3 linked regions of the Diceros bicornis minor genome follow. The protein of the gene in region 2 purifies or fractionates together with the protein of the main gene of each other region. This does not show direct contact. Links are inferred from orthologs where the notes say so. Each region holds a gene or a part of one and is shown on either strand. Other genes may lie near its edges. The genes, in order: BAG6, GET3 and UBL4A.

Region 1 (7,484 bases), on a different chromosome or scaffold from region 2:
AAAGTGAGAGTTACCGCCACTCAGTGTCCTTCCTGACGCCGTCCAGCTGGAGGTTTAGATGGCAGAAGGTCCAGGGGGACTATTGAAATGGGAGTAGTGGGATTGATGTCTGGAGACAAATCCCAATGAGACCCTGATTGAAAATCTTTATTGAAATCCTTATTGAAAAATCATTTTTATTATTCTTCAAAGGGAGCTGGGAGTCTCCAGCTTCTCCTTCTCACCACAATCTCAACTCCCATCATATCCATCAGATGAAGCCACAGGTCAGTTACTGGAGAGCTCGCAGGCCTCTGGTGGGAGGAGGGAGAGAAAAAGAGGATGGAAAGGAAGGAAATCCAGGGAGATTCCCTCATTCCCTCATTCCCCTGTGTTGAGAAGGGATCTCTGAGGACTTTTTCCCTCCATGTCTGACCCTCTGCCCCCTTTATCCACGCAAACTCAGAAACCTCTCTTTTGAGTAGCCCAGAGCCCATCCTGGCTCCCTCAGGTGACATCACAGCTCTTGGCCACATCCCTCTGGTGCCATCACAGCCTGTGACACAAATGGAGGGTCAACACAGCCACTCTGATGATATCAGCCTTTGGCCATGCCCTCTGGTGACATCACTTGAGTCCCTTTCATCCAGCACCTGCAGAAGACTTGGTGAGTCCTAGTCCTCTACTGTGCGACTTTACCCCTCACCTTGATTCCTGGGAGTCAGTAAGAAGGCCTTGGAGTCCAGGCAGGAGGTCAGGGACCGGAATTCCTCCACACAGTTCTCAGGAGGGTGTGGCAAGCGATCTGGAAGGGCAAGGCAGGGCCAGGCCCATCAAAGCCCCTGCTTCTTAGCACTGCCCCTGGTGAGGACCTCATGGAAGCACCCAGCCCTTCCTGGGATGATGCGACAGGGCCCAGAGTGAGGAGCTCTCCTGTCCTCCCGTGTTTCCCTCCAATCCTTCCTGCCTGGCATCCCCACTCACTGTAGAGGAGGAAGCGCTGGTAACCCTGGCCCGTCTCTTTCAGCATGATTCCACCTGGGCATGAGCTAGAGAAGAGCTTGGTCTTCATGTCGGGGCGGCCTGTCAGGGTGGGTGAGGAGAAGTGTGAGGACCGAGATGCAAAACCAAGCAAGCCCAGAGGACTTGGGGAGAGTGAGGACTGGAGAGAACCAACCTTCGGTTCTGAGATCTGTGCTCCCCTCAGTCAGGTGGTAAATCCATCTCCGGGGCACACAGAGCCCATTTTTCCTGCAGAGGTGGTGGTGGCAAGGAGGCAAGACTGAGTGACACCCCAACCACACAGTACCAGCCTCTATTTATTCCATCTTATTCCTTCTTGAAGCCCGGGTCCCCTTGGGTTTCAAGCTACCAAGGGATGGTTAGGCCCATTTCTCTCCAGACTGAAACTAATAGAGCTGTTAAACTCAGAGGGCCAAGAATTGTGGATATGCCAAAGCACTCAGCTCTTTGTGGGTAGGTGCTCACACTTCAGGCAGAGACCGCACCTACTGGTGCCTCTGCCTCCTCACCACTCACGTGCGGATGGTAGCACGAAGCTGGAGCTGCTTGGGGGCAGAGTCTGCAGCCATGTTGAAGACAATGTTGTCCACAGGGTCAAAAGTCACCAACTCCTCCTTGGTGGGAGCTGCTCCTGCGATAAAGTACCACCGGCCCAGGTGGGGCTCTGGGAACTGGAGAGACAATAAGGGGAACAGAAGAGGGTGGGTCCCACTACAGGATCCATCCCATGTCTTCATCAGTCAGGATGGCAAGACGTAGAGGTGGAGATGTTGGCTGCCTTTTTCCAGTTGGGGGTTGGATCCATGACAGGGAGTCACTAAATGACTTTTCCTCTTTGCCCCTCCTCAATCAACCTGAGTAACCACCCCACCCCCCAGTTCTACCATGTCTCCACATTGATGGCCACAGTGTTAATATTTTTTTTACTTGTTCTTGCTTTCATCATCACAACACTCACACCCTCTTCCTCCCTCCTTTTCCCAACGTGGCTTCTGGTCATCCTAGGCCACCACTCAAGTCCCTCAGAGCCCCTACCATAAGTTTCTCCCATTCTCAGTCCATACCTCTTTCCCATCCACTCCCTGAGTTGTCAGTTGACTGTACTCAGGACACTGGTAGATGGAGTTAAGGAGAATGCCATAGAGGTAGAGGAGAGCTGCCCAAATTTGGTGGAACATCTTCAGGCAGGAGGCAGCTGGTGCTCTGCATAGAGTGGTGCCTTAACTGCTCTCTTCCCCCGCTGGCTGCTCAGTCCACTCTGCTTCCAGCCCCCTTGCCTCGACCCTTGACCCTTTCACCTGCTAATGAGTAACTTCAACCTTGTTTTCCAACCCAAGCCTGGATTAGTGTTTGGGCCTTCCTCCCCCTCCTCTAGATGCAACCACTCCACAATACACCCTGGCATGTCCAGGGTCTCTCAGGAATTATAAGGAGAGCTGAGCCCTCCAGGCAGAAGCCTGTGGTCTTTCAACCCATATCTGAGCTGGGTATCTGCTGTGTTGTGCAGCATCCAAGAGTGGTGGATTGATTCATTCATTCACTTAGCAAACTGTGTTGAGTCCCAGCTGTTTGCCAGGAACTGGCTAAGCCCTGGGGACATAAAAATGAATAAGACACAGTCCCTGGCCTTGAAGCAGTCAGTCTAAGGAAAACTAGCTGTGTAAACAAATCACTGCTGTACAACCTGGGAAGTGCTTTAGAACAGGTACAAACCACGTGCTGGGGCATGGTGGATAGGAGGCTTCCTCTCTGAAGTTTATAATTGAGGAAACAATATGTACGCTCTCCAGAAAAGTTTCCTGACACATAAGTGAATTCATTCACTCAACGTTTATTACTACAAGAGGCTATATAATCTAGTGGTTGAAGAGGACAGACATTGGTGTCAGGCATAGTGGGTCCAAACCCTAACTCTACTATTCATTAGATTTTGGACAATTTTATTAATCCTTATGCCTGTTTTTTCATCTGTGAAATGAGCAACTCATCAGTCTCATGGGATTAAAAAAGATAATGCACATAAAGCCCTTAGCAAAGGCCTGCACACGGTAAGTCCAAAGTAAATACTCTCTATAATTAATAGTAACGTTTGTAAAGCACTTATTACAGTTTCTGGTGGCTAATAAGTTTTCAAATAGGAGATAAGGAAAGAATTGTCAAGAGGCAGTCATTGGATAGTGCCAAGTGGGTGGAGCAGTTAATGCAATAAAAGGTGGGGCTTCCTTAATAGATTGTTTATAACCCACAGACTGCCAAAAAGAGATTTGTCCTGAGAGGTGAGGCTTGCTATGGGCTTGTGATTGAACAAAATTTGGGAGATGGGTATATCAGGATTCATTATACTATTCTATTTTGGGGTAATGTTTGACATTTTTTGATAATTAAAAACTAAAATACAACGATTTATTGGGACAGTAAAGTAGAAGTGCTTGACCCAGAGCGTGCTGGGCCTGGATCTGTCGGTTCTGCCACTTACGTTCGCCTAGGTGCACTCACCTATACAACGGATGTAGTAACTATCTCAGATGTTGAAAGGCTTTTAAATATGACTACGTAAATCTCTTAGCAAATCGGCGGGCGCAAACTAAGTGCTCACTAAACAGGTGCTTATCAGAACTCTTAACTGAAGCAGTACTGGGACCTGGGTATAAACTATAAAAAGGCAGGGCAAGGGAGTCAGGCACCCCGGCAGCGACGAGTCTGACTGGAAGAGTCGCAGCGCCTCGGGGTCGATGCCCTTGCCCGAGAGCGGGGGTGGGAGGAGAAGAGGGGAGAGAGGCGGTAACTACCTCGCCCCCGCAACCCCCGCCTGCGGAAGCCCCTTAGCAGCCCCTTCAATTCCCCGGAGTCAGTCTTGTGTTTCAGTCCAGTCTGACTCATTTGCTCCCGATTTCCAAACTCAGAAGCGCCCTTTTTTTTGACAAAAGTCCTGAAAGGTGGCAAATCCTTAGCTTCTCCAAAACATGGCGTGTCGCCTCAGCCGTGCACCGCCGGCGAGGAACATGGCGCCCACACTCCGCAAAACGCCCACCGGCAGGACCGAAGTCAGGCCCAACGACTTGATCGCACGCAGGACAGCTCGCGAACCACCTCCAACCGCCTACGGAAAGGGTGACTTCCGCAGGCGCCGAAGATTGGCGCAGCGAGGGCGACAGTGACAGGAAGACAGACTCTTAGGTGGCCAGGACAGTGCCGTATCAAATTCTCTGCCGGCCAAGACTTTAATATAGATTAACGAGGCACAATCCCCAGTATCCAAACTCCAACATCCACAGAACCGTCGGAAGCCTCGCGAGGCAGTCGTACAGTCCCATCTGGTAATTTTTTTTTTCAGGCATTTACAGTGCCCACCTTAACGTCCTATTGCTCGAGCGCGCGCGCAGGAGAAATGCACAGCTCCAGCGGGGGTGGGGCGGTGCCTAAGTGTGTACGCAGGCGCAGTGCCACGCACGCAGGCGCAGTACGGTCCCCCAGGCGACGGCGGCGGCGGCTCCTCGAGGGCTCGGCTCCTTCCCATCTAGGCCGGGCCCGGTCCGTCTTGCCCCCAGGAACTCACTGTTTGGGGCCGCGGACTTCCTGGTCGTGCCCCACAAAAGTAAAGCTTGGGGACCTAGGAGGAGCCGGAAGTACCGCCTCGCGATCCCCAAATACTATCGGGGAAACGGAAGTGGCCGTCGGTGGCAGGTTAGGGGAGACCGGAAGTGACGGTACCGTGGGGAAGTCGGGGGCGGAGCCGCGGAGTGGTGGGTGGGTGGGTGGGTGTGTGTGTGTGTTGGTTGCGCCGCTCTGCTGGAGCACCGAGGGAAAGCGGAAGAGGGGGGCAGTCAGCTAGCCGGTCTGGCCCCCCGTGAGTGTCGGTCATCTCCGGTCTGTGGTGACTTAGGCGCGTTCGATGGTCGTGGCGTAGCGCGCCTGCGCGAAACCACTTTCTCCGCAGTCTGGCGCGACCCTCTCACTCGCGTTGTTACAGGATTTGCCGACCTTTGGGGCCCTTGTCTTATCGCGACCGGTGATGACACTGGTCTCTTGCTTTCTTCCCTGCTTCCTATCCCGATTGGCCCTCCCTTATTGTGATTGGCATCGTGGAGCCCCTCCCACGTCCCGTTCCTCCAGCTCCTTGTGCCGTCGATCTCCTGCCCTTTGTGTTTCTCTCCCTGTGCCCCGGAATCAGAAGGGGGATGGGGGCGGGTGTGAGTGTGTGTGCTTGTGTGAGAGAAACCCTTTAGGTATTGGGGCGGAGACTCAGGCCGGGAGGCTTCCGGATATATAAAATCTGTTCTGGGCGACAGCGGGCCTCCCTCCTTCCATTCTTCCTTAGAGAGCTGTCGGCCATGGAGCCCAGTGATAGTACCAGTCTCACTATGGAAGAGCCTGACACCCTGGAGGTGCTGGTGAAGACCCTGGACTCTCAGACTCGGACGTTTATTGTGGGGGCCCAGGTGAGACCCCAGTACTTCTGTTAAGACACCTATTAACTCTTTCTCTTGTAGGCCCCTTAGCCTAAGAGAAGAGCCTGATTTTCTGGTCCTCAAAATTTCTTGCATTAATTTCTTTGTTCATATTCTAGGCAGAACATTTACTGATGTTTCTTGTTGAGTGAGAAGGTATGGTTTCTGTTGAATGAGGCAGATTTTGTTCTGTCTTCCTCCACCTCGATAGAACTCAATGCAGAGGGAAATATGGAGGAAGAAGGAATCTGTATGCTATCACCATAAGTGAACCCCAGACCAAGGGGCCAGACATGGCTTCTGCCTTTGGGAAGGGAAACAGGACACACAGACCCAAACGCAAGTGTGTCTTAAAAACAAAAATTGGTCGGGTCTATCCTGTGTTTTTAAAGGCTAGAAATCGGAGCCCCTAATGCAGGTAGAGCCCTAATAGACTGTTGAGTGGAATTACTAAGATTTCTGGCATAATTCCTATCTTTTGAGTTTAACACCATGGGGACATGCCATTACTCCTGTAATACTTGGAGACAAAATTGTGAGGAGTTGGTCCATGATTTTTAGAGCATGGTATTACATGTATTTAAGAAAACCGTATAAACTTTTTCAAGTAGATGTATGTAAATAGCCTGATACTTCCCAAGAATCAGTTGTCTAGTTAGTAAAACTTTTTTTGTTTTTTGCTCCCTTCTCTCTCTCTTCTTGGTTGAGTCTTCCTTCCTTGCCCTGATTCTCCACCCCATTTTCCTTGTCATTGCTTTTATCTTTGAGATTACAGAATTGTATCGTTTTGTGTTTGGGGAGGGGTCACCGGTGTCTTTAGACACACATTCCCCTGGGAGCCAGGTAGAGAAAGAGAAAAGAGAATGTCTCTTGGCTTTTCTGTTTCTTAGCTATGTAATTTTCTGCTAGGTGTATAACTTGAACTTTGCTAAGTTTATTGTCTGTATTTTGACCGCTGTTGTCTTAGTTTGGGGCTTTGCCCAATAATTACTTCACAAGTCAAATGGGTAGTGATTTTATGATGGGATGGTTTTTACCCCTTATCCCCACAAGTCAATTGTCCTTCTGTCCTTCTTCTTTCTTCCATCCCTTGATACCTATTCGTGTCTTTTCTTTGTTACAGATGAATGTAAAGGAGTTTAAGGAACACATTGCCGCCTCTGTCAGCATCCCTTCTGAGAAACAACGGCTCATCTACCAGGGCCGAGTTCTGCAGGATGATAAGAAGCTCCAAGAATACAGTAAGCGGGTGGGGAAGGCAGTTCAGAGGTTGAGGCAGCTGTCCAGAGGGATGAGCTGAGGCTGTGGGTTTACCTGCTCACATAATGTTTTGGTGTGTATCTTTTTTTTCTGCAGATGTTGGGGGAAAGGTTATCCACCTTGTGGAACGGGCTCCTCCTCAGACTCAGCTCCCTTCTGGGGCATCTTCTGGGACAGGGTCTGCCTCAGCCACCCATGGTGGGGGACCTTCCCCTGGTACTCGGGGGCCTGGGGCCTCTGTTCATGACCGGAATGCCAACAGCTATGTCATGGTTGGAACCTTCAATCTTCCTGTAAGCTTGTGTTCCATGTGGAAGAGTTTTTGTGGGGAAGGGTAGTTTTGGTTGTGGTAGCAAAGAGCTCATAAGACAGGTGTCCCAGTCTTTAGATTGGGTTTGTAGGCCCCTGTGGTCTGATAACGGCCTCAGTCTCTGAGGAGAAGAGGGTTGGGGCTCCAGAGAACGAGTTGGAAGTGTGGGGGCCTTAGTATTTGGCTTCTCCCAGAGCAACTTCCCTTACCCTTTCCCCAGAGTGACGGCTCTGCTGTGGATGTTCACATCAACATGGAACAGGCCCCGATTCAGGTATCACGGGGCCTGGGAGGGCCAGGGAAGGGGATCTGGGAGAAGGAGGCTGTGAGGTGGGGGTGGACCTGGCTGAGCAGATAGCTGGGACCTGGTTTGGTAGATGGTGGAGCTCATGGCTTCATCTCAAACCTGCCCTAATCTTCCCTCTCTTGTTGTAGAGTGAGCCCCGAGTACGGCTGCTGATGGC
Region 2 (7,325 bases):
TATGTACATCGCAGAGAGTCCCAGGCCGTGGGCAGGCGGGGAAGGGGGTCATTTCACCAGGGGCCGAGTTTTATCATCGTCGCCGCACTGGTGGGCTTTGTACTTTTTCACCTCTGCCATGTACTTGGCCCATGCGTCACCTTTACTTGTTAATACCTGTTGGTGGGGACACACAGGGGGCGGGAAGGGGATGCCAGGGAGGCCAGGACCCACGGTCAGGACTGTCCTGAGACAGCGGACCCACCCCCAGCGTGACCCCGGAGGTCCTGGGTTGGAAGTCAAGATATGCAGAGTCAAGGTAGCTGGGACCGTGTTGAAAGCCCTCCTCCCCCACCCAGCTCACCCATCCAGGCCCAGACGCTGGAGATGGAGGGTCAGGGCTTGTTGGCCAAGCACTGAGGCCGGAAAAGCAAGGCAACCTGGGCAGCCCCCCACCCCAGCCTGCTCACCTCATCCTCCGTCTTCTGCTTCTTGGCTACTATTCCCGTCTTGAGGGCTAGTTTGTTCCCGCCTCTGCGCTTGCCCACCTGGGTGAAGGGACAGAAGACTGCTACGGTTACAGGAGCCGGGCCCGCCCTTGGCGGCGCTGAGGCCCACCACACCTTCCTAGCCCGGCCCGGTGGCCCGTCCCGACGCCGCGCCCAGCTCCGCCAGCCGGCCGACCTGCGCAGCAATCAGAGAGGAGCACACGCGACTCTTAGCGCCTGCCCCAGGCCCATGATGCCCAGGCAGTCCTGGGCACCCGGGCTGCCCTCCCAGGGAGCGAGATGAACCCCCACATTGGCAGGGACAGGCTCTGTCCTCACTCTCCAGGCTGAAGCCTCCCCCAACCCTAGCAGGAATCACACAGGCAGCAACAGCTCCCTTTATTGAGCACTTACTGGATGCCAAGCCCTGTGCCAAGTGCTTTGGCTGGATTATCGCCTTCCACTTTTACAGTTACCCTAAGATGAAGATTACAACCATCCCCGTTTTACAGGTGAGGAAACATCTTTGAGAAGGAGAGACCTGTACTTTAGTCATGCTGGCAGCAAACAATGGAGCTGGATTCAGGTCAGGTGGGTCTCAGCCACAGAGCAGCATCCGTAACCATCAAGAGACGTTGTCTCTCCCCTGCACCTAACCTGGCCTGGCTTCTTTAAGGGGCCTCCCGCAGTGGCCCCTCCATGAACAAATGAAAAGAGCAGTGACAATGGCTGCTACTCTTGCTCATGGAGGGGCACTCGGCCTCCACCTAGTTCTCACACCAGCCCAGGTCCTAACACTTTCCCTTCCTCCAACACAAGTCTCAACTCTGGACTCTCATCCTGGTCCTCATCTTCTCCCACCCACTGGGGGCTTCCTGAGCCCCTGGGGCTGCAACAGGCTTTCCAGGCATCATCCCATCTCTGCCCCTCAACCAGGCATCAAGGGGCCTGCACTGCTTCATTATTGGCAGATGAAGACACATGACCCCCCCGTCCGTTATTCTCAAGTCAACACTTTTTTCTCCACACCACAGGGACTTGATCTGAACACTAGAGACAAAACAAGTTCAGAGCTGACAATCAATATAGATGCCACTTATTTAGCCTAGAGTTTCTCAACCTGGCACTAATGACGTTTTGAGCAGCATCATTTTTGTTCGAGGGGGAGGGTGGTTCTGTGCATTGTAGGATGCTGAGCAGCGTCCATGGCCTCTACTCACAGATGTCAGTAGCACCCCCCCTCCCAGTTCTGACAACCAAAAACGTCTGCAGACTTTGCCAAGTGTGAGGATGGGGATGGGGGAATCATCCCCAACTGAGAACCACTGGTTTAGCCCTTCCTATACGCCCCTGTGCTAACCGCTTTTCCAGGATGGCCTCACTGAACCCTCATCACAGACGAAGATGAGATGAGATCTAGTTTTGTAAGTAGGGAAAATGAGGGTGGGCCAGCCCAGCTCCACGAAAGCAGCGATCTTGTCTATCACGTTCACCACGGTATACCCAGCACCTAGCAGGATGCCCAGCACAAGGTAAGGCTCAATAAATGGACACTGAACGAATGAGATTCAGGGAGGTCATGCAAATTTCCTAAGGTCACACAGTAAGTAGTCTGAGTCTCTAATTACACAGCTCGGACTTCAGATTTGAATTTGCCCCCTTCCCCAGAGTGGGAGATGGTCCCAGCATGCAAAGTTGGGTGCCACTCAAACAGCAATCCTGGTATCCTGGTTTCCCCATCCCCGGAGCTCTGTTTCCAATGCAACTCCCTCCCGCTCCTGGTTCTTGCGGGCAGGCTCCAGGGGTCCCCACCTCCGCCCCCCGACCTCTCTCGTCGGGAATCCAGGTTCTGCATGCTCAGCGGGTGACCCGGACGGCCCCTCATCGGGGCCGGAGGGTGGACGCATCCTGACCCCCTCTCTCGGGCCCCGATTCCCCCTGCCAAGGCAGGCCCCGGCGCCCGCCCCCACCCCCGCGGCTCCTTACGAAGCTGAGCGTGGGGCCCGGGCCGCCCTTCCTCTTCGGATCCCCGGGGCCCGCGGCGGCGGCCGGCTGATCGGGTCGCGGCGGGCCCGGGGGCGGCTCCTCCTGCCGCTGCCGCTGCTCCTCCTCCATCTTCCGCTTGAACAGCTCCAGGAAGCTGCCGTCGTTGGCGAACAAGTTCACGCCGCCCGACACTGGGCTCGAACCCGCGCCCGACACGTCCTCGTCCCCGCTCTCGGGCGACGTCCCGGGCCCAGACTCAGCCCATCGACTCCCGCCGCCGCCGCCGCTCGCAGGGCCCGGCGCCTCCCGGCCCGGAGGCTCCGCCCGTCTCCCTCGGGCAGCCATTTTGTCGCCAGGTGCCGCGCAAAGGACTCCGGGAAGGCCGCTCGGGCCCCGCGCTTGGCGCCCGACTTGCCTCGTCCCGGGCAATGCATGCCGGGAAAAGCGGTCCGGGCCCCCCAACCCAAGGCGTCCGCAGTGGGGGCGGGGCATGAGGGGCGGGACGAGTGGGGGGTAAGACCCGACGCGGCTGGCCGGCTGGGGGATGCCCAGCCCTGCGGATTTTTATAATTCAGCTAGATTTGGGAAGGCGCTACGCAAGACATGGTCTCCCCGGGAATGGGACCATCGAGAGGGACTGGGGCTATAGCCGGCTCTCCGGAGTGAGATTCCCGCTTGGGACCGGGGGCGCGTTAGCTTTCCGGGGCTAGAATCCCCTTCTGGCACCAGGGATCATCTCAGTGAGGGGAGGGACCCCGTCTGAGGCTGTGTGTTCAGCTGCCATCTCGGAACCTAGGTCCCTAACTAGGTCTAGAGGGCGTATCTAGCCTGGGCCCCTCAAATAGAAATGAGGGTATCTCTGGATTAGGTACCTGTCCCATTTGGGAATAGGGATACGCTGGCTCTGTGAAGCTGGGGTCCTCATCTGAGAATCAAGGTATTATTTTATGGCCTAGAGTACTCAAATAAAGCCACGGAAATTTCTAGGCTGGAGTCCCCATCTAAGGTTGAGTGTCCCCCAAGGGCCTGGGACCCAGCTTGTATTCCTGCCCAGGGCAGAGGTTCAAACAGGGAATTCGCTGAACTGGAGCCTCCCCCTCGAATAGGGAGCCAAGTGCAAGGAAGTTTTCGGGAATAGTGTTCCTACTACGACAAGGAGCGCAGTTGCAGGTGTGGTCCCTGCCCTGGCCTGCCCAGCATGGGGGTTCAGGGAGCACTGGACCGGCTCTGCGGACCTTGCCTACCACTGGAGTCATTCTCCCTCTAACTCACTCGCAGCCCCAGGACTTGTCTCCAGCCAACTAATCGGTTCATCTATGATTGGTTTGCGTCAGGAACCAGGTGGCTCACAGCCAATCGGATAACAGAGGAGACGAACCTGAGGCGATGTCGGGACCTAATTTGGAGAATAGGGAGGAAATGATGGACAGGAAGTTAAGCCTATGGAGTCAGGCCATGGCGGACCTCGAATGTAACTTCACGGAAAGGGCATGAACCGGGTGTTTGGCTGGTTGCTAAGGCGAGGTTGGCGGCTACCGAGACTTGAGAGTGATTGGTGAAAGTAAGAAAAGATGTAGCCAATGAAAGGAGCGCTGCAAGACTTAGGGACCAATCAGTGGAGGGGAGTAGCCAGGAACGTACCAATATGTTAATTAGGCAGGGGGAGTCTTTGAAAAAATGTAGACAAGAAGTCGATAAAGTGAACCCCGGAAGCGGAGGACATAGGAACTATAGCTTCTATTAGCTCCTAAAAGTCAAGCCAAGAGGAAATTAATTCATGTTCCTAGCCTTGATGGGGATGTGCTGGGCAATTTCCCCTGTAGGTGCTCTGCGTGGTGTGCTCCGCTTGATCACGTGAACCGGTTCCAAGATGGCGGCAGGGGTGGCCGGGTGGGGGGTTGAGGCAGAGGAGTTCGAGGATGCGCCTGATGTGGAGCCGCTGGAGCCCACGCTTAGCAACATCATCGAGCAGCGCAGCCTTAAGTGGATCTTCGTCGGGGGCAAAGGTGGCGTTGGCAAGACCACCTGCAGGTAAGAAGGCTGCGACGGGGGCCGGGAAGACGGGTGGGATGTACCACGGGGCGAAGGGGAGGCCGAAGACCGGCTCTTCCACCCCGAGCCGGGCAAGGGGGCTGGGCCGGGGTCTTCCGAGTTCTGCTCCCTGGAAGTTCCCTGGAGCAAATGGAAGATACCTCCTGAATGCAGGCCTGGCACCCTCTGAGTTGGACCATCCCCTTTGCGGCTCAAGGGCCGAACCACAGTGTACCCAACACTCGTGGGCGGCAGAGCAATCAGCTGGACCGTACCAGAGTGAGCTCAGAGTAGGGGGAAGGGCACCGGGGCGCACTATCCTAGTCTAGTGAACCTTGCCATTCTCTGCCCACGTGGGGGTGGTGCTGGAAGGCGGGGAAGAGGGCACGTGATAAGACTCCCATTCCAGCCTCTTCAGCTGGGAGGAAGTGGAGGGCTCCCTGGCGCAAATTATCGTGGATAAGTGGATTGAACCATCCTGAGTTTAGCAGGGGGTGCAAGGGATCCCTTAGCGTTGAGGGAGGGGGCACAGGATCAAACTATGCTGGCTGAGCAGCTGGACCATACCACTCTGTGCCAGCAAAGCAGCAGCAGGCATCAGGCCAGAGCGACTCAGCTGAACCTTACAACTCTAGCCAGTTGGAAGGGACAGTAGGTGAGGTCTGAGAGGGTCCCTCTGCAGGCACTGAGGCTTGATCCCACAGTTACCCCTACTCTCCTCTCAAGGCCCCTGTTGTTCCGGGTCCCGTGTTCCTGGGACCCTCCATCTCCCCGTGCAAACCTAGGGAGCAGAGCCTGATCCCTCCGTCCCCGGCTTTTGACCTTTCCCTTGCCCAGCTGCAGCCTAGCAGTCCAGCTGTCCAAAGGGCGGGAGAGCGTTCTGATCATCTCCACTGACCCAGCCCACAACATCTCCGACGCATTTGACCAGAAGTTCTCCAAGGTGCCGACCAAGGTCAAAGGCTATGACAACCTCTTCGCCATGGTGAGTGGAGCAGACTCAGCTCCCCACTCTGGCAAAGGCCCCTTCAGGCCCTTCCCGTGGACGCCCGCCCTCAGCCACCTTGTCTCGCCCATGCCACATCCACTGTCTCTCCAGTTTCACCGCTTCCTAGACATACCCACAGCGGAAGCAGTGAGGAGGGTTTGCGGAGCAGAAAGGAGGCCAGAGTGACCTGAGCTTAGTGAGCAAGGAGAGGGGAGGGAGACATCGGAGAGGTCACTCAGAGCCGCGTAGTGTGGAACCTCGCAGACCACTGGGAGCAGTTTGGCTTTGAGTCCAAGTTTAATGGGAAGCTGTTCTTTTTTTTTTGTGAGGAGGACCAGCCCTGAGCTAACATCTGCCAGTCCTCTTTTTTTGCTGAGGAAGACTGGCCCTGGGCTAACATCCGTGCCCATCTTTCTCCACTTTATATGGGACGCCGCCACAGCATGGCCTGACAAGCGGTGCGTCAGTGCGTGCCCGGGATTCGAACCCCAGGCCGCCAGCAGCGGAGTGCACTTAACCGCTAGGCCAAGGGGCCGGCCCCTGAAGCTGTTCATTTTAGGCAGGGCAATGTCATGGCCAAATTCATTTTTCAAAAAGTTCCCTGTGGCTGCCATGCAGAGATTGGATTGTAACTCAAGGATGGAAGCAAGGAGACTGGGGCAGTGACCAGGCAAGAGACGATGGCAGCCTGAACTCAAGTGGGGGAGATGTGGTCAAATTTGAGATGTGTTCTGGAAGTAAAGCAGTGTGGCTGCTTAGTTGTAATGGGTCAGGAAAAGAAATGAGTTAAGAACGTCTCCTAGTTGGCTCCCAGAGCAGCTGGGATGGGGAAGACTAGGAGAGGGGCAGGTTTAGAAGGGAGAGGTCAGGAATTCCGCTTTTGCCACAGTGAATCCGAGGTGCCCACTGGACATTCAAGTGGAGATGTTAGGACGGCGTCTTAGTTAGATGAGCCTGGAGCTTGGAGGAGGTTGGCGTTGATTTGGGGGTCATTGTCCCAAGGGTGGTATTTAAAGCTGTGTGAGTGGAGAAGAGCGTGACAGAACAGAGAGGCCTGGAAACAACGCAGGGGCACATCAGCATTAAGGTCCAGCAGAGGAGGAGGAGGAGCTGGGGAAGGAGACCAAGAAAGAGCCAGCGGTGAGGTGGGAGCAGAGCCAGAGGGTGAGCTCCTGAGCTCCAGCGAGGCAGAGGGACTCACGCAGAAGAGGCTGTGGCAGGCACATCAGATTTAAAGAGCTCACCCTGGGAGCGGGGGCAAAAGCCTGCCTGGAGGGGATGAGCTGAGGAGGTGGAGACGGAGTCTGCCCTCATGGGAGCTGAGAAGTGAATGGGAGCTGAGAAGTGAATGGGCCATCGCTGGAGGGAGATGGGAGTCAGGGGTAGGGAGGGCTTTTTTATGCTGACGCAAATGCTCCATCAGGGAAGGACAGTGATGTTGCGGGAGGGAGCAAGGACGCTGGCAGAGGACCGGCCTCAGGCGGGCGGGAGCTCCGTCCAGCACACAGGCTCAGGACTTGGGCTCCGCCAGGGCCAGAAATGCCGAGGCAAGGCGGGGGCCTGGGGCACGTCCTGGGGGGAGATGAGGGTGTTGGCAGCGGTGGCTTCTCTTTCTCGCCGAGACCCCAGGCAGGGCACAAGTCTCATCAGAGAGCAAGGGGCGAATGGGACAGAAGGAGTTGGGGAGGGAGAAGATGTGACATAAACAGCCCCAGGGGCAGACTGGATGGATGGTTGAGTGCCTGCTGGAGATTTGTGATGGGGAATGGGGGGCAAGGTGGGAGTTATTGGTCAGGTGTGTTCCCCCGACATTCACCTCAGCACAGTGACCCCAGATAGCTGAGAGTCACCAG
Region 3 (7,657 bases), on a different chromosome or scaffold from region 2:
GCCGCGAGAACGTGAGGCCTGGCGCGGCCGCGGAGCCTGGGAGTGGCTTGAGGGCGCCTTCCGCGACCCAAGACCGCCAGGGCGGGCCGCTGGCCTGGCCGCCTTCCGGGTCGCGGTTGGCGACTACGGGGCAGCAGCCTGAGTCCGGCGGCGGCGCCCTCCTCCTTCCCTCCGTCCCGGGTTCGCGCCCGAGCTCTGCTCGTGCCCAGTCCGACAACTTCCGGACTCCCAGGTAGGGAGGAGCCCCGAGTCAGCACTGCCAACTGCCCTAACACCGAACACTCAGCCAGTGTGGAAAAAGCAGCCAGCCTGGGGTTCCTTCCCCTGCCTTGGGGTGCATCTGCTCAAACTCTTCTGGCCCCTCAAGCAGAAATGGTGTGGGATCTGGGCCAGACCCCTCTTGCAGTGACTCAAAGCCGCCAGCTGAACTGGAAGGACAGGGTGGATGACCCTTAGCCTCCTCTCCCTTCTGAACTGGTTCACACCACCGCGGTGGCTTCAGTCCCAGGTGCCTTCATCTTTTCCCTGTGACTCCCCTTCACTTTGCTTCTCATACTCCCTCTGGTTTGCCTGCCTTCCTCTTCAGCGGTGGGACACAAGGCTGGACCAAGGCCTCCAGGGTAAGTGACCCAAACTCCAAACCAGCCAAGACCATGGCATCCCAGGAGGCTGGGGGGAGACATTCCCAAGGATGAGCCTTTTGCTTAACCTGCCCTCCACCTCCTGCCTCCCGCGCTCCCCAGTCTCAGATGGCTGAGTGGGGGCAGGGACAAAGACTGTCAGGATCTACAGAGGCAGGGGCCTCTTCCAGGACTGGGACACTGCAGGGCGTGAGGCAACCAACAGTAGTGATGAAAAACCAGTGTCCCCATCCTGGTTGCCCCAGTCCCAGCAGGTGATGTGGCAATTGGATGGTGGCTGCCCAAACCTCCTCCTTTCACCCTGAGGCACCCCGCCCATGAGAAACACTCATAGTCCCCCTGGGCATTCCAGGCTCTGGTAGGGTGCGTGTGGGCATGGGGAGGAGCCCCTGGACTCCGAGCAGAGCCTCTCAGGTGTGACACAGTGGCTCTAGGAGCTCAAATTCTGGGACTGCCAGAGGAGTGGAAGTTCTGACAGAAGGAGAAGAAGCCCCCCAGCAGACATGTGGTCCTATCAGGCCCCCTCCTGCTGCCCCTTCTGGTGACTTCTCTGGGGAGAGGGGACCTGCTCCCCAGAGAAGAACCCCCATCTCCCCACTGTCAGCAGGTAGGGGAGGCCAGGGAACCATGGTGGCACCATTCACAACTGCACGTTGGTGGTGGACATCAGCCCCTGGGGCCTTCGGCCGGATGGTCACCCACTGCCCACGCCACTTTGCCAGCTGCTTTCTTCCTGGCAGATGATACTCAAATGCCCTAACCTGCACTCTGATGGTCTCTCAGATCTGGCCCAAGCCAGTGTTTCTTTTTTTTTTTTTTTTTTTTGTGAGGAAGATCAGCCCTGTGCTAACATCTGCCAATCCTCCTCTTTTTTTGCTGAGGAAGACTGGCCCTGGGCTGACATCTGTGCCCATTGTCCTCCACTTTATATGGGACGCTGCCACAGCATGGCTAGCCAAGCAGTGCGTCTGTGCGCGCCTGGGATCCGAACCGGCGAACCCCAGGCTGCCGCAGCGGAGCGCACGTACTTAACAGCTTGCGCCACCGGGTCAGCCCCAGCAAGCCAGTGTTTGTATCAGCACCCTTTGCTCTCATCAAGCTTGTCTCCTTGTCATCCCTGGGCAGCCTTTCAGAGATTTCATCGTGGTTGTGGGATTGCTGCGGCCCTGCTGTAGCTGCGTCTCGAAGCTGGTGGGGAACAGGCTAGTGGTGACAGGATTGGGGGTGGCTCTCCCGAATCCCTTGGTATCAGGATGTCTCTGCATGGTCACCATGCTGGGCAAGTCCAGGGAAATGAGCGGGTAGCAGCAGCCTGAACGGGAACTGCTATCTGTGAGTGTGTCCTCTGGGTGAGGGATAGGAAGCTTGAGGCAGTTGTGCTGGGTGAGAGGACAGCCGAATGGCACTCAAGGGCCAGCACTAGGCATTGCCTTTCTGTTCCCGGGCTTGGGGCAAGGGGCCCCACTGAGTCTCCCAGCAGTGGGCTTCCAGATCCCCAGGCTCCTGGGCTCACAGCTGCTCGCCCTCACCAGCCCCCTCTCTGTGTCCCTTTCCTCCTCAGGAAGAGCTCTGCCATCAAGGAAGGCAGCACAGGGCCAGGGCCCGCCTATGGACCCTTCTCAGGACAACCCAACGGTACCAGCAGGACTGCTCTCCTAAGCCACAGAGGGTCTGGGCTCGCCAGCCTTCAGGAAGAGCCATGGTGTTTAGGAGGGGCAGGGGCAGCTCCCAGCAGTGGCCTGGCCTGGGAGGGGGCAGTGGTTGCACAGGCCACCTAATCATGCTCAGGACTGCACTGCTGCTTTTCAGCCTGCCATGGGGGGCCTGGGGAACAGCCAGTGCCAACCTCAGCACGGCTCTGGGCCATACTGTGCCACTGACAGAGGGCCGCTACTTGAGCATTGGGGATGGCTCTGTGATGGAGTTTGAGTTCCCAGAAGAGAGCGAGGGCATCATTGTGATCTCGAGCCAGTACCCAGGCCAGGGCAACAGGACGGTGCCAGGCCCCACGCTAAGAGTCACCTCCCTGGACACAGAGGTGCTGACCATCAAGAATGTGAGTGCCATAACCTGGGGTCGGGGGGGCGGCTTTGTGGTGAGCATCCACTCAGGCCTGCCTGGGCTAGCCCCACTCCACATCCAGCTCGTGGATCCCCACAAGGCCCCACCTATGCTGATTGAGGATCGGAGAGATTTCTGCATCAAGGTCTCGCCTGCTGCCGAAGACGCCCCTGCCACCCTTGGCGCCGACCTGGTCCACTTCTCAGAGAACCCAATACTCTACTTGCTCCTGCCTCTTATCTTTGTCAACAAGTGTTCGTTCGGGTGCAAAGTGGAGCTCAAGGTTCTGAAGGGGCTCCTGCAGAGCCCCCAGCCCATGCTGTTGGGCCTCCTGGGTCAGTTTCTGGTCATGCCCTTCTATGCTTTCCTGATGGCCAAGGTCTTCATGCTGCCCAAGGCCCTGGCTTTGGGCCTCATCATCACCTGCTCGTCGCCTGGCGGCGGGGGGAGCTACCTCTTCAGCCTCCTCCTTGGAGGGGATGTCACTCTGGCCATCTCCATGACTTTCATCTCAACTGTGGCTGCCACTGGTTTCCTGCCACTGTCCTCAGCCATCTACAGCCACCTGCTCAGCATCCATGAAACACTCCACGTGCCCATCTCCAAGATCCTGGGGACCCTGCTGTTCATCGCCATCCCCATAGCAGCAGGCGTAGTGATCAAGTCCAAGCTCCCCAAGTTCTCCCAGCTGCTGCTGCAGGTTATCAAGCCCTTCAGCTTTGTGCTGCTCCTGGGTGGCCTCTTCCTGGCCTACCGCATGGGAGTCTTCATCCTGGCGGGCGTCAGGCTGCCCATCGTGCTGGTGGGCCTCACAGTGCCCCTGGTTGGCCTCCTGGTGGGCTACGGCCTGGCCACATGCCTGAAGCTGCCAGTGGCCCAGCGGCGGACAGTCAGCATTGAGGTAGGGGTGCAGAACAGCCTGCTGGCCTTGGCCATGCTGCAGCTGTCCCTCCGCCGCCTTCAAGCCAACTATGCCTCCCAGGCCCCCTTCATCGTGGCACTGAGTGGCACCTCAGAGATGCTGGCCTTGGTCATTGGCCACTTCATCTATAGCAGCCTGTGCCCAGTTCCCTGAGGCCCCTGGGTCAAGCTTTTGCCACCCCTAGCCCCCACCCTCCACCCACTGTCCCCACAGTTCTTGTGTACCAAAGGCCTTTAGTTCTCATGCACTATGCACTCAGAAAAGTCCAGGCTGATTTTTTTTTTACTGGTTTTTTATTCTCCAGCTTTCAGTGCCAAAGAGGCTATGCTGACTTAGGTAGGTAGGCACTGCCCAGAAAATATATTTCAATAAAAGAGAGAAGCAAGCTTGGGTCCCTTCCCGTCTTTGCCCTTTAAGGCCTGGGGGTGGGGGTAGGAAGGGTGTGGCTGGGTAGGTGTGGGTCGGCGTGGAGGACTGGCTTGGGTGACACGGTGATCTCTGTGCAGACTTTCTTTCTCAGCCCTCCTTCTCCACGCACCCCCTCTGTGAGAGGTGGGCCTCTCTGTTCTAGAATGAGCCACGGGAGCATGCGGGCAGAGGCCTGGCTCCTGCCTGCTCCCAAGCTCAGCTGGTTTTCTTCAGCCAGACTAGAAAGGAGACAGCAGGCCCGCCGCGGGCACTGGGGTAAGCTTGGCAGGGCTGGGCCGTCTGTGGATTCCTGAGAGACACAGACCGGGCGATGGCGCTGCCCTGCTCCGCCGGTGGCCCTCCCTCCTCCCCAGACGAGGCCGGCCCCACCCATTCCTCCTCTCTGTCCCGGCGGGCTTCCCGCGCCATCGCCGTGGGGGACCTGTCGCCGGGGCGGGTCCCTGCGCGCCGGCGAGGCGGGACATCAAGGGGACTCCTCCTCCGGGGGTGGAGGGGGCGGGGCCGGGGCGCCGGGCGCGCCCCTCTCGCTGCTTCCGGCGGCGGCGGGTGGTTCCGGCGCGCGCCCGGGGCGGCGGCGCGCGGCGGGGGGGCGGTTGGGGTGCGCGCCGGCCGGAGTGGACGCCGCCGCGGCCGCCATGCAGGTGACGGTGAAGGCGCTCCAGGGCCGCGAGTGCAGCTTGCAGGTAGCGTCGCCGGGCCCCGTCGCCGGGCCGGCTCGCGCCCTCAACCCCAGCCCCGGGCGTAGGGCCGGGCAAGCCGAGGGCGGGAACGGGGACGGGGCGGGCGGGCCAGCCGCGCCGGGGAGGCCGGGAGAGCGCCCTCGGCGGGAACTCGGGCTCAGCCCCTGCCTCCCACCCTCGGCCCGGCCAGGTGTCGGAGGATGAGCTGGTGTCCACGCTGAAACATCTGGTCTCCGAGAAGCTGAACGTCCCCGTGCGCCAGCAGCGGTTGCTGTTCAAGGGCAAGGCCCTGGCAGGTAACCGGAGAGAGGAGACGCCCCAGGGGCCCCGCAGGAAGTCGGGGGACAGGATATCCAGGCCGAGCCCGGGCAGCGGTGAGGGTCTGGGCGCTGGCCACTTGAGGGGAGGTTGCTGAACCTTCCTCAGCCAGATGCGGCAGCACTCCGGCTGCTGGGGCTCCTTGAGGCCACCCTTGCCGCTGTGGGTAACAACTTAATCTCTCTTTGGCAGATGGGAAAAGACTCTCCGATTACAGCATTGGGCCCAATTCCAAGCTCAACCTAGTGGTCAAACCTCTGGAGAAGGTGTTACTGGAAGAAAGCGCTGCCCGGAGACTGGCCGAGACCCCACCCCCACCCCCACCCGCCTGGCAACTGATCTCCAAAGTCTTGGCCCGCCACTTCAGTGCTGCTGATGCCAGCAGAGTCCTGGATCAACTACAGAGGGTGAGAAGGGTAGCCTGGCCCATCCCCTTCTGCCCCTGCTGCTCCCACCCCTGGCCTCTGTCACAGTGTACTGCCCGCTGGCACCCCCTGAATCCTCCTGACTTTCTCCCCTCAGGATTATGAGAGGTCCTTGAGTCGCCTGACCCTGGATGACATCGAACGCTTGGCTAGCCGCTTCCTGAACCCCGAAGTGACTGAAGCTATGGAGAAAGGGTTCTCCAAATAGGATTCTCTGAGTGTGGGGAGGAGCCCGCCAGGCTGCAAGCTGCATGTAGCATTAAATGTGTTCTCATGTTGCAATTTGGCTCATAATAGTAATAGCTGGCAAGTATCCCTCCCTGGCTCTTGCTAGGTGCCAGGCACCTCGCACAAAAGGTGAGACAGCTGAGGCTCCTGGCAATGAAGTGATGGAGCCAGAACCTGAGTCCAGCCAGCTTCTAGAAGTGCCTCAGGGTGAGAAGGAGAAACGGGCTGTTGGAAGGGTTCCAAGGGATGGGCTTTGGCATTTTGTGTTTAGCCCACTGAGAATAAACCCTCGAGCGACTCCTTTCCAGGTCTGAAAGGGGAAGCAGCTGGCCCCTGCTGCCCAGTCCTGTCACCTGACCTCTGGCAGGTCTAGCATTGGTGGGAGGCCAAGTGGCAGCCAGCCCGGAGCCCCCTCAGCTGCTGCAGCAAGTGCACTCGACGCAAGATATGCAGGTTGGGGAATCAGGGATGAACGTCGCCCAGCTCTGCAGTATGACTTCAAGCAAGTCCCTGTGCCACGTTGGTCCCCAGCTGTTGACTCTGCACAATGAGGGCCAGTCCTTAAACCTCAGTCAATTTCCTTCATCCTTACCCCAGCCCTGGGGTGAGGAGTTGGCGGTGATCCTCCCTCTTGTTTTCCATAAACAAACTGAGGCCAAAAGCCAAGCGATGGCCAAATGTGGCCCAGAGATGGGGTGTCCGAGCCTTTTGTGTCACAGCTCTTATGTGGGCACCCCCCCCCCCGCTTGTACCCTCCTGGACACGGGCAGTTCTCACCCCTTCGGAATTACAGGTCACTGGCTTGAGGTCACTCAACGAGGCAGTGCGAGAGCTAGGCCTCAGCCAGGCCCCTGTACCCTGCGCTCACCCATAGCGTGGAAGGGATCCTTCCCCTGCCACGTGTGTACAAGGGCTTTCACTTTGCACACCCCTCACTGCCTGAGACGAAACCTCGGGTGCCAGGGACGGGGAAGAAGCATGGGCTAGTGGCACTGGTCCTCCCACCCTCCCTGGTGTGTGGGCACTAGAGGTCATCTACGAGCCTCCTTCTTAAAGGAGGGCATCCGGGGTGGTTAAGGCTGGAAGGAAGCTGCCCTCCAGCCTGGGCCTCTTGGGGCAAACGCTGGGTCCCCAGGCTGGGAAGATGAACAGAGGTCTGATGGGCAAAGGCTTTGAGGAGCAGACAGAAGCCCCTGACCCCAGTTGAGAGCTGGGAATAGCAAACAGGGCCCACTTAGGAGCCCGTGTGGTCTGGCAGCTCATGTGACAGACTTAGCAATGCTCTCATTTCTTTTGAGTCAGGAACTTGATGTTGAAATTTTAAATAGCACTCAAGGTGAATGTGAGACTTGGACTTTTATCCAAAAGGAACTATATTAGCTAGGCTGCTTTTGGTTTCCAATAATTGATTTAACCGTAAAGGAAATTGATTTAAACAATAAAGGAAACTTACTGGTTTACGAAACTGAGAAGTCCAGGCCTATTGGCAGCAGATGAACAATTTCAGCAAATACCCAGTTTCTTCCTACCTCCCCTCTGCATTCTGCAGTGTCTGCTTCATCCCAGGCCGCTGCCTCAAGATCCAAATATGGCTGCCCTGAAGCTTCCACTGAATCCCTCATTCACAGCCAGCAAGGAGCACCTTCTCGCCCTATAGTGTAGCTTATTTCTCAGATGCCCCTGACAAATAAACGCTGTCCTTTCATTGGTCAGAACTGGGTTGTGCCACCAATCATTTTGGCTGGGCGTGAGGTGGACAGTGGGAGGCCAGCCCCCTGGACACCCATGGGCTGTGGGAGGGAGAGGGGATTCAACAAAAGCCAGGTCCGCAGGAATGGCTGACTGGTCCACTGCAGGGGAGTGACACACGCAGATGCAAGTTTCAGACAGACCCTAGAGATGGTCATTGAGTCCCTTGTGCCAGCACCTCTCGGCTCGGAAGTGACAGAGCCA

Evidence for each region.
Region 1: the proteins of GET3 (region 2) and BAG6 purify together in Homo sapiens (co-immunoprecipitation; 5 studies listed by BioGRID and IntAct, with this or other methods). This does not show direct contact. The link is inferred for Diceros bicornis minor from reciprocal best matches to the Homo sapiens genes GET3 and BAG6.
Region 3: the proteins of GET3 (region 2) and UBL4A purify together in Homo sapiens (affinity purification with mass spectrometry; 4 studies listed by BioGRID and IntAct, with this or other methods). This does not show direct contact. The link is inferred for Diceros bicornis minor from reciprocal best matches to the Homo sapiens genes GET3 and UBL4A.

Annotation. Positions count from the first base shown.
Region 1 is NC_080753.1:33,107,507-33,114,990, forward strand, and holds the start of BAG6 (large proline-rich protein BAG6), read left to right. Parts: upstream 1-4,474; 5' UTR 4,475-4,686; exon of another isoform or gene 4,687-4,709; intron 4,710-4,735; exon of another isoform or gene 4,736-4,749; intron 4,750-4,782; exon of another isoform or gene 4,783-4,849; intron 4,850-5,320; 5' UTR 5,321-5,333; coding exon 5,334-5,441; intron 5,442-6,573; coding exon 6,574-6,691; intron 6,692-6,806; coding exon 6,807-7,003; intron 7,004-7,240; coding exon 7,241-7,294; intron 7,295-7,455; coding exon 7,456-7,484. Other genes in the region: APOM (apolipoprotein M), read right to left, coding at 268-293, 686-784, 964-1,062, 1,157-1,230, 1,519-1,673, 2,067-2,180. UniProt on the Homo sapiens protein: ATP-independent molecular chaperone preventing the aggregation of misfolded and hydrophobic patches-containing proteins.
Region 2 is NC_080769.1:4,600,309-4,607,633, reverse strand, and holds the start of GET3 (ATPase GET3), read left to right. Parts: upstream 1-4,236; 5' UTR 4,237-4,323; coding exon 4,324-4,484; intron 4,485-5,321; coding exon 5,322-5,469; intron 5,470-7,325. Other genes in the region: TRIR (telomerase RNA component interacting RNase), read right to left, coding at 49-156, 450-527, 2,454-2,798.
Region 3 is NC_080781.1:138,425,829-138,433,485, reverse strand, and holds UBL4A (ubiquitin-like protein 4A), read left to right. Parts: upstream 1-4,632; 5' UTR 4,633-4,688; coding exon 4,689-4,736; intron 4,737-4,923; coding exon 4,924-5,029; intron 5,030-5,243; coding exon 5,244-5,458; intron 5,459-5,573; coding exon 5,574-5,684; 3' UTR 5,685-7,169; downstream 7,170-7,657. Other genes in the region: SLC10A3 (P3 protein), read left to right, coding at 2,341-3,777. UniProt on the Homo sapiens protein: As part of a cytosolic protein quality control complex, the BAG6/BAT3 complex, maintains misfolded and hydrophobic patches-containing proteins in a soluble state and participates in their proper delivery to the endoplasmic reticulum or alternatively can promote their sorting to the proteasome where they undergo degradation.